Linked DNA regions of Caenorhabditis elegans. The protein of the gene in region 1 interacts with the protein of each later gene in a pairwise test. Each region holds a gene or a part of one and is shown on either strand. Other genes may lie near its edges. The genes, in order: W05E10.2 and del-4.

Region 1 (4,589 bases):
ATATATAAAATTGAAATCAACTTTATAACTCTTTCATGAAAGAAATTCAAAGAATACAACTGCAACCTCAAGCGCGCCTGAATAAGGCATTATTAACCATAGAAGGAGTTCTCACGTAGTCTCAGAGGCATCTATAATTGAGAATTGTCAGATAAATTCGTGCATTCCTTTTTCAGGTAGCATTTGTTTTATATTACTGAAACACAAAGTTCTGAGATTGCGTATTGCGAAACGTATTTGCCGCGATAAATATCTCGTAGCGAAAACTACAATAATTCTTTAAGTGAATACTGTATTATAGAAAAAATACGATCGCACAAAAATAAACAACGACGCAACGACACTCCGCTATTTTTAAGCCCCGCCCACGATTTCATTTGCACTGAAATGTGGCGGCCGCAGTGCAAATGAAATCGTGGGCGGGGCTTAAAAATAGCGGAGTGTCGTTGCGTCGTTGTTTATTTTTGTGCGATCGTATTTTTTCTATAAAAGCTCATGTATAAGGTATCAATGTTCCAAATGAATTTAAATAATTTATATTTTTATATTTATTTATTTAATGAATATTAAAATTAAGCAAAACACTGAGAAAAGAATTCGAAAAACGAAGGAAACTTGAAAATCGCTGTCGATTTTCGAAAAGAAATTTAATTCGAAAACCGAGCCCGTAAATCTACACAACGCTACAGTAGTCATTTAAATAATTACTGTAGTTTTCGCTACGAGATATTCTGCGCGTCAAATATGTTGCGCAATACGCATACTCAGAATTATGTGATCCCGTAATATTAAGATTGACGAATAAAAATAATTCATGAATTCAATACATTTAAAAATAAGAAATGAGGGTGTGAAATCTATTTTTGATCTAATTCTGTTCCTACATTTCAATCATCAAAGAGTAATACGGAAACTGGTGAGACGACGGATAATGTGTTTCTCAGTCATTGGAAAGAGTATGCATAATTCAAAAACGGACGGCTTCTCTTCTATTCTGATTCTTCTTTCTGGATTCAAAAGGATGATGATGGGCCAAAGAAAAAGGAAGAAGCACTTCTCGTCAGACTGACTGCAATTTCATTTTTCAAAATATTTTTTTTCACTTTTCGATGGCTTCCTTCCGCATATCCCTGTTTTACGTTTTCCCTTGTTTTCAGTGGTGACTTTTATGAGGATTATTACTCTTTTTAAAATGAAAAAGAAGCCAAGTAAAACGTGTTTTAAAAAAAATTAATCATAGCGTACCGTTCTCTTGCTCCTGGATAATATTCTCGCGAAAAACATAGAGATTTTAGTATCAAAAACATATGAATTGTTGTAAAACGCACATTTCTTTTCAGATTGGTCTCGCCGCGGAAAAAATTGTAGGGAGCAGTTTTGTTTCAAGAAATAAAAATTGATAAACTGAACCTCTTTTCGAACTTAAAATATCGGGCCCTAAAAACACTTCTCGCGGCGAGACCCATCCAAATGAAATTGTAGTGTGGCGTTTGCTTTTCTTTCTTTTCTTTTTTCGGAATCAATGTCAAATTTCAAATTTAAAAAGAACACGTTCTTGAAAAAACTTCCCGTTTAAAGATTAGAAATAATAATTTTTCTAAAGCATATTTCCAAAGTATTTTATCTTTTGTAAATAGGTGCTAACTATTCCCAGGAAAGCTGGATTATCATTTTTTGCAGAAATCCACTCATGGACTTTTGAAGTAGGTGACGTTGAAACTACTATTTTTAGAGTTTTGTTCTCAAACATCTAGAGGAAGTGATGAAAGAGAAAGAAAAGAATTGAGAGCACAAATCGTGTGTGTTTCGAGCTCTCTTCTTACCATCAAATTGGGTTTATTCACAAAATTCAGTCATCTCTTCCTTCTTCTTCTCTGCCCCCGCCTACTTTTCACCCATTTATTCATTTTTTAGTTTAGATAAACTTTTGACATCAAATCTCCTTCATTTCCTATTTCATTCTGTTTCACGCGTTGACCAGAGCAACCATAGAAATTTCCAGAAAAATCCAGAAAAAAAAGAAGGAGGAGCCTTTTCGTAAAAAAAGTAAATTTTTTAGAATTCATGTCGAGCTTCTTATCGGCTTTATTTCGTGTGATCGGAAGAGGATAATACCAGATATTATTTCTAGTCTAACCTCTCTCAATTTTGACTATTTATTTAATAATTGCTGAATATGACTTCAACTTCTTCTGAGCTATTCAATACATGTAAGTTTTGTAACATTGTAAATTTGTATCTTTGTATTTTCAATTTTGTTTGGTAGATAATTATAATTTACTCGTTAGGAAACATATTGTGTTACATATATTTAACGTTTGAAGAAAGGGCACAAACCTTTTTCAAAATGTTTGATCAGATCTGGGCGTATTTTTTCTGGTTTCTGGCAATGCTGGCTAAAAGTAATTCACTTTTGAATCTATCACAATTATCACTTTCAAAATCCACTATTAATACACAACTTAGAAATATGTTTATCTGGATTAAAAAGCAATTGTAAAATTAGCATTGTGCCCCTTACAAAAATGAGATATTTTTGAAACCACGTTGGGCTTTTCATTCAATTAGTCAAGTATTCCATGTGACCTATTCTCAAGACATACGACAGATTGTAATCAATTGTACATTTTGTTTTTTTTTTCTTTTTAAATCCTCCTCCATTATCATAAAGTTCAGTTGAACCTCTAATATCTAGCGATGGTTAATGATAACTTTTTCCATAGTTCGGAAACATTCAATTTGATCAAATTTGATATCTGAAATTCATTTTTTTTTCAATTAATGTAAATTAGTATTTTGTTAAATTTTATGAAACTATTTGTTAAAAAGTGTTTTGTTGAAGAAAATCACTTTTAATGAAATTTTTTGTAAGTTTAATGAAAATAAAAAAAATAAAAAAATAACCGATACAGAGAATAAATATTTAATCTTGACATAATTTTAAACTGTTTCCTTCTACTCGTACATTGTTCAAATCTCAAAAAGTAGTATCAGGCACCATATTGTCTCACTCACATGTGATTGTTTTTACCAAAAGCGTGGGAAACCTCTCGTCTAGAATTCACAAGACATTTCAGCCTCCGCACTACCGAGACGTCGAGCCCACTACTCAGATCTTATTCATTCTCCACATATTTTTCGAGTCGCAGATTCAGAAGATACAAGAATGGAGAAAATAACAGAATTTGTACTAAATGGACAAGAAGAAGCATCCGATGATGATGCAAATGGTCAATTGTAAGTTGTTCAAAAATGGAAATGAAATATTAACAGCTTTTTAATTATTTAATTTTTGAAGAGATTGGATTCTGGCAGGGATAATATGCATTGTCTGTATTGCATTCTTGGTAATTGCAGTGAAAATTTGCTACAATTATTCAAAGAAATTTCCGGAATCTTCAGAAAAGGTGAGTCTCAATTTGCATTTTTAAATAAGTTGGATCATTTAAGATTTGATCGTTGTACTAAAATTGACTTTTTTATAAATTCAGCAAATTTTGAGCTGCAACGATTCTCCGTTGAGCTCATTCTTATAAAATATTAACTCGCAGGAACCACTAAACCAGGACCCACCCGTCCAACTCGGTATAATTCCTCAACTTCAGAATCAAGTTAATGAAACGTGACTTTTAGAAAATGTATCCGGAAGTGTTTTTAAGGTATCAAAGTTTTCGAGTTGAAAACATATTTATTTTGGTCTTCATCTATTCACATTTTCGATTCATAAAAAAATATCTTATAAAAAGAAGTTAACCACCCAACTTGTGAATATGGTTTAGATTTTCAACATTCCATTTAAACGTCCTAAAATAAAATGTATGTTTTTCCAGGAGCACGAGAGCATTGAAAATTTCAATAGACGAGCGATATCCACAAAAGGAACACGGGGCCACGTCAGATATTCGGTTGCTTAAAATTTTAATGTGATGGCAAAAGATTAACGTATAAATAATGTACATAATATTGAACTGTTGCTCTTTAAAAGATTTCCGATTGAACTTATTTTGCATTTAAGTATGAAGATTGAAGATTAACATCAAGAAATAGAAATACGTGTGTCATTTTTTGAGCAGAAGCCTTTGTTTAAATATATTAATGCCATTTGTATTGTTTATCAGATTTATAGTTTTGCACATTTGATCTCCACTGCTACAACAATTTCAACTCAAAACCGTATTTATTTGATGAAATATGGAATTGTCAGAAAACGTCACGTCAATGATGAGAAAATACCCGGAAAAAGTGATAATTGGAATTAAGGCATCATAGAATGTCATCACACTTTGTGATTATTGTTGTTACTAATACTTTCTTTCTTTTGTATTAATTCTAAAGGTATCATTTGCTTCCAGAAGATGCATGTTGATAAAGCTCCGATAATAAGAAATGTGAGCATTTCTACACTAACCCATGTGTAGCCAGATGAGTTGAAGAAGAAGCTGAAAGAACAAATTATATTCACTGATAAGGCAGAACCCTTGAAAAATTAGGTTGAAATGTTCTTTAGGGCCCCTCCCGCTATGGAAAACCTGTCTTGAAAAAACATTTATATACTGAAATTTCAAGAAACTCACGTTGTAACTAATGGA
Region 2 (5,520 bases), on another chromosome or scaffold:
TGGTTAGTGTAGATATTAGACGATAGAAGATTGTTGCTATTTCTGACATAATAATAAATTTAAAAAATAGTTTCGAAGTGGTGAAGTGCTTTCTAACATCACAGTTTGAGGAGCAAAGGCGCCAAGAAAAAAGAAAATTATTTCACCAATGAACACAGTATATGAGATCCATTCCAAATGTAGACATCATAAATCTCCACCCACACTACTTCCTTGTCAACATTTTTAACATTTCTTATTTTAGATCTTGTTTTCTGACTTTCTAGTAATAAATCTACACTTGAAGATTTCCAAGTACTACTTAAAAACGAACAACTTATGAAACAAAAAACCCTTTCTTATCTTCTAAATTAAAAAATCGAAAATTCAAGAAAGAATTATAAAAATGTATAATAACGAGATCACGAGCTTAGTCACAAGAGTTTTGGTTGAAACAGAAAGATTTAACAAAAAAAGCTGGCTATATACAATTCTGAAATGTAAGATATTACTGCTAGGACCTCGTAAATCATTAAATAATTATGCTCTATTCCGTGCTGCTCACGGAGCTCAAAATGCTCATATTTCCAGAATCTAAAATATCCTAATGAGAATTGAAGAAGGGAAGAAAGGGTTCCTCGTATCTCTAATTAGTGCTTGTTCAGGGAATACTTTGAATTGGGAATTTGATTTTTTAACTTGGCAGATAAATCATAAACTGATTTCTACTATGATAGGGAATTTGGAATGCTTTCAACTGTAAGTACCAAATTACACAAAATATTTGCTAGAATTGCCTTTAAATATTAGCTTTATCATATGATCGATGATTGAAAGATAGAAGGAAAAGAGAAGCCTTAAATGAAAAAGTCATAAATTAAATGTTGATATGTCATAGATCATATGATAAATATGTATGAGTTATGATATTTTGGACTTTCAAAATGATTAGTATTTGCTAGTTTGGCTTCTTGAAAATTGTTACGGTTGAAAATAAAAATAGAATTCTCACATCTCGAGAAACAGAACTGTTTGATCAGAAACGACAAATAAACATATATTAATTTTCCGGAGAATGGTTGAAATCTAGATAGTATCAGTTTTTTTCAAACGTACACTTTGTGAGTAGAAACTTAAAGAAAATAATCAAAACGTATGTAGTTCAATTAAAATGTTTTTGATATTATCAAATTATCTTCAAATCATTAATATAATTTTTAGATGGAACAAAGGCAAAATACCACCAGATGCGGTTTCTAATAATACTTAAATTTTTCACCGAAAATTGTATATGTTTTTGAAAACTTTCAGTCAAAGTTTTGGCAAATTGACAAATTTTTGACTCCTACAATGTTTAGATACAAATAGTGAAAACAAAATTAAAACATATTAAATTTGTTTTGATGAAAAAATTCTAACTGGAAAAAACTGAGTAAGTGCATAATAAAATTTATAAATGTATTTGAAAAGCTTCACTATTATATTTGGTCATTTTAGCACAACAGAAATGAACTCTAAAACTTTTCCTACCCATTGTCCATGTGACTTTAAACCGACGAATACAAAGTATTGTATTTCTCTAATGGGCAAAAATAGGAAATTGGGAATCTATTTGGAAAAGAAGATTTTTAAAACAAAATATCCTTGGGAACTTGATCACAGTTTAAAGATGGTGTGGCATTTTTCTACCTTAATTATGACGTGGAATGCCTTGTGACAAAGGTTGATTGGAAATAAATTAAAATAAAATTGCAGATGGGTGTATTTTGGACCGGCCTGAAGTATGTTTTCACGGATTTTTCGTGTTGGACATCAACTCATGGAGTTCCACATATTGGAATGGCAAATGCTCGATGGTTGAGGTAGACATGGAAATTAATGACCCAGAATGATAAATGATTTCAGAGCATTCTGGATACTTGTCGTCGTTGTTTCCATTGCACTTTTTATTTGGCAATTCATCACGTTGCTTACCAACTATTTATCATTCAGTGTGAATACGGAAACTACGGTTTGTTGTAAAGAAAACTTACAAAAACTATATATCTCTTGCGAACAGGGGATATTAAAATAGACATTCTACCAGGGCAAAGCGTAATTAGGTTTTTTCTAAATATTTTACTGATCTTGAAGTTTTTAAATTTGTAGAAAAAGTCATCTGAAAATCTCACGGAAACTGCTCCTGCATTCTCACACTTTACCCATAAATTTCCAGCTGCAATTTGCCGAACGGACATTTCCCACCGTCACGATTTGTCATTTAAATCCATGGAAACTATCAGAAACGAAAAGTGTGGACCCGGATATGAGTGCACTGGTAATCCAAAGTCTTTAATAACATTTTAAATGATTTTGAGGGACTGATTTTTGAAGTGAAAGTGATGGAGTTGTAGAAAACGCGTTAATTTGCATCTCTACGTCTTATATCCCTTACCTATCAGAAGAGCATCAGTTTTCCAGATCGACGCCTACAACTCTGATTCAAGCTCTGCTCAATTTGGACTCCCAGCTTCTTTGACAGCTGATAGGCAGCAACAAGCTAGTAAATGGACTCTCATGTATTCTGAAAGACTTAACGAAAAACAGTATAATGTAGGTCAAAGCTTGTTGAACATGTTTCAGAATTTCCGATGCTCAAAGAGCACCGGGAACTAAAATTTCGACCGATAAATCAAGTTTCTTCAAAAAAGCACATAAATGTTCGAAATTGAAATTGGGGGTTTATAATCATTTCGGAAAAGACATAAAATCCAAAAACTAGGAGAATATTTTATTGTTCTTGTGTGTGTTTTATGATCGATTGCTTTCTTTTTCTTTGAGATTTTGAAGATAAACCAAAGGAAGTGAGTAATTTCAGGATGCGGCAGACATTGCATATTCATATGATGACATGGTTGTTAGTTGCACGTATAATGCAAAAACATGCAACATTACGTACGTTTAAAGTTTGTGTTCGCAGTAATTCTTTACGTCTACCAATCTGCTTATTTTGATAAAATAGTGTAGCTTTATATAATGCAATTAAAACTTAACGTAGAAATTTAGAAAATATGTGGTTGATTTGAAAATAATGAGTATTATTATTGGAAAGTAGAAATGAACCTGTACTTATCTAAAGTTGTAATTTGTCAAACATAATTTTTAGAATCTCTTTCGCTTTTTTAAAAACTTTTTCAACAATAATAACAATTTTTTCAATTTATATCATCATTTATTGAGAAGAAAAAACCAATAAATATAATTAGACTCAATTCATTCAAATATTTTCAGTGATCATTTTAAATTAATTATTAATTGTAAAACTTTAATAATATGGGCAAATTTTCTATATATTTTTATATTTTCCGCGCACCCTTGTTTCAAACAAAATTCTGAAAGATAATTCTTAACTTTCCAGTGACTTTAACGATTTTTACAACCCGTCATACGGAAATTGTCTGCAATTTAACACTGATGGAATGTATTCTTCTTCCCGCGCGGGACCACTTTATGGTCTTCGTATGGTGATGAGAACAGATCAAGATACATATCTTCCATGGACTGAAGCTTCAGGCGTTATCATTGATATTCATATGCAGGATGAAATACCGTATCCTGGTGAACTGCCAAATTGCATTAGAAGTGTATTCTTGATCTTATTTCAGATGTATTCGGTTACTTTGCACCGCCGGGAACTGCTTCCTCTCTTGGTGTTAGTTATGTTCAAACTACTCGTCTTAGTAAACCTTACGGTAGCTGCACAACCAAAACAAAACTAAAAACTACTCATTATACTGGAACATACACTGTTGAAGCATGTTTTAGAAGTTGTATGCAGGAAAAGATTATTGCATCGTGTGGATGTTACTATCCTGCTTATTCCCATGCATCAAATACAACACAGTATGTATCATGTGATAACGGTGTACAGACACTTTCTAATTGTAAGTTTTATCTGCTCATTAACTGAAAAAAATCTGACCAATTTTCCTATTATATTATTTATATGTTTCAGTAAACTGTGTTGACTTGATCAATAGTGCCGATTCAACGGAATTCGATGTGCTCACCGATTGTGATTGCCCTCAACCTTGCGAGTAGGTTATGTTTCAAATATTTATTAAAACAGGCAGCAGTTGTAAATGAGTTGTCAAAATAATATTATTTGGTTCAGAATCGATTCATATGGTGTAACTGTATCCACTGCTCAATGGCCATCCGATTCATATGTGGTACGTGCTTTTATATTGAATATTTCTGTAAAAATTAATTTTTCTAGCCAACAGAATGCAATCCTGGTGGTCCATCTGGTCCGTGGGATGCTTCAGGAGAATCGTGTCTTGATTGGTATAAAGCAAACACCATTCTCATTGAAATATATTATGAACGAATGAACTTCCAAGTTCTTACAGAGTCACCAGCGTATACGGTAAGTTTAAAAATGGAACTCATAAAAATTGGAATATTTTCAGTTTGTAAACTTCATTTCTGATGTTGGCGGTCAAGTTGGTTTGTTCCTTGGAATGAGTATTATATCTGCAATCGAATATCTTGTTTTGATATTTCTTGTCTTTTTCTATTGTTGTACTCATAAATCTAGAAGAGCAGAAATTGAACAACTTGAAATGGACATCAAAAAGGCTAAGGTAGCACTTTAATAGTATTGCACCTTTACAAATTAATTATTTGAAGGATGATGTGGATCAAGTTGCAGAGAAGCGGAAGAAACATCAAAAAGCAAATGCAGAACTTTACGAAATGGATACAGCTCATGATATTGTTCCACCAAAGCCTCATTCTAATGATTGATATTCTGCCGATTTTGGGAAACGTTGAATAAAAGATTTATATTAAGACACAAAAATGCCTTCCAGGCAAACTTTTCTGAAATTTCGGAGCAGGGCAGGGGTAGGTCACGCCAAATGAGGCAGACAGGGGAAGGGTTTGGAAAGCTAGCACAGGAGTTTACATCAAACAGTGGAAGATTCGTAGAGGAATGGCGGCTTAAATTAAAATTTTGAAAAATATTCAATATGTTTTACAGGTATATTTTGGCACTTTTTTCCTGAAAGGTTATCCTCCTATTCATTTTAATATTAAAAAAGTCGAGTATTGAATCAAAAACTATTGAGGGAAATCCCACAAAAATCAATAATTTTATTTTATTTTGAAAAATAGTTTTTCTTGTAGTTTTATTTTTCATTAACAACGAAAATTGATTTAAAAAAATAATATTGTTAAATAAAAATTACTTATCTCCCATCATCTGATTAGAAAACGTACACCTCACTTAAAAGTTATTTTTCCCAATATCCAAGTAAGCCCTATTATTCTCTAATCCAATTCTTAATCCATCCAAAATTTAGTGTAATGCTGGCAACTGTTTCATAATCTAAATATTTAGATTACCACCCTGTTACTATAATTGTCACGTCACCACCGTTCAATCCATCTAATCCATCCCGACCGCCAGTAATCCAAATGGTGGGTCGGCAGAGAGGTGTTCAAAAGATTGCATGACGTCACTGACCCGAAAGGGGGTCAAGAGCAGTGTTGTTAGCA

Evidence for each region.
Region 2: the proteins of W05E10.2 (region 1) and del-4 interact in a two-hybrid assay, tested with the Caenorhabditis elegans proteins (one large-scale study listed by BioGRID).

Annotation. Positions count from the first base shown.
Region 1 is NC_003283.11:11,685,250-11,689,838, forward strand, and holds W05E10.2 (uncharacterized protein), read left to right. Parts: upstream 1-1,927; 5' UTR 1,928-2,176; coding exon 2,177-2,210; intron 2,211-3,077; coding exon 3,078-3,237; intron 3,238-3,298; coding exon 3,299-3,407; intron 3,408-3,830; coding exon 3,831-3,914; 3' UTR 3,915-4,039; downstream 4,040-4,589. Other genes in the region: mfsd-8.2 (Major facilitator superfamily (MFS) profile domain-containing protein), read right to left, coding at 4,277-4,439, 4,575-4,589.
Region 2 is NC_003279.8:8,138,752-8,144,271, reverse strand, and holds del-4 (Amiloride-sensitive sodium channel), read left to right. Parts: upstream 1-1,734; coding exon 1,735-1,841; intron 1,842-1,884; coding exon 1,885-1,990; intron 1,991-2,194; coding exon 2,195-2,296; intron 2,297-2,439; coding exon 2,440-2,571; intron 2,572-2,836; coding exon 2,837-2,913; intron 2,914-3,376; coding exon 3,377-3,576; intron 3,577-3,623; coding exon 3,624-3,902; intron 3,903-3,973; coding exon 3,974-4,055; intron 4,056-4,132; coding exon 4,133-4,190; intron 4,191-4,237; coding exon 4,238-4,387; intron 4,388-4,430; coding exon 4,431-4,604; intron 4,605-4,650; coding exon 4,651-4,767; 3' UTR 4,768-4,804; downstream 4,805-5,520.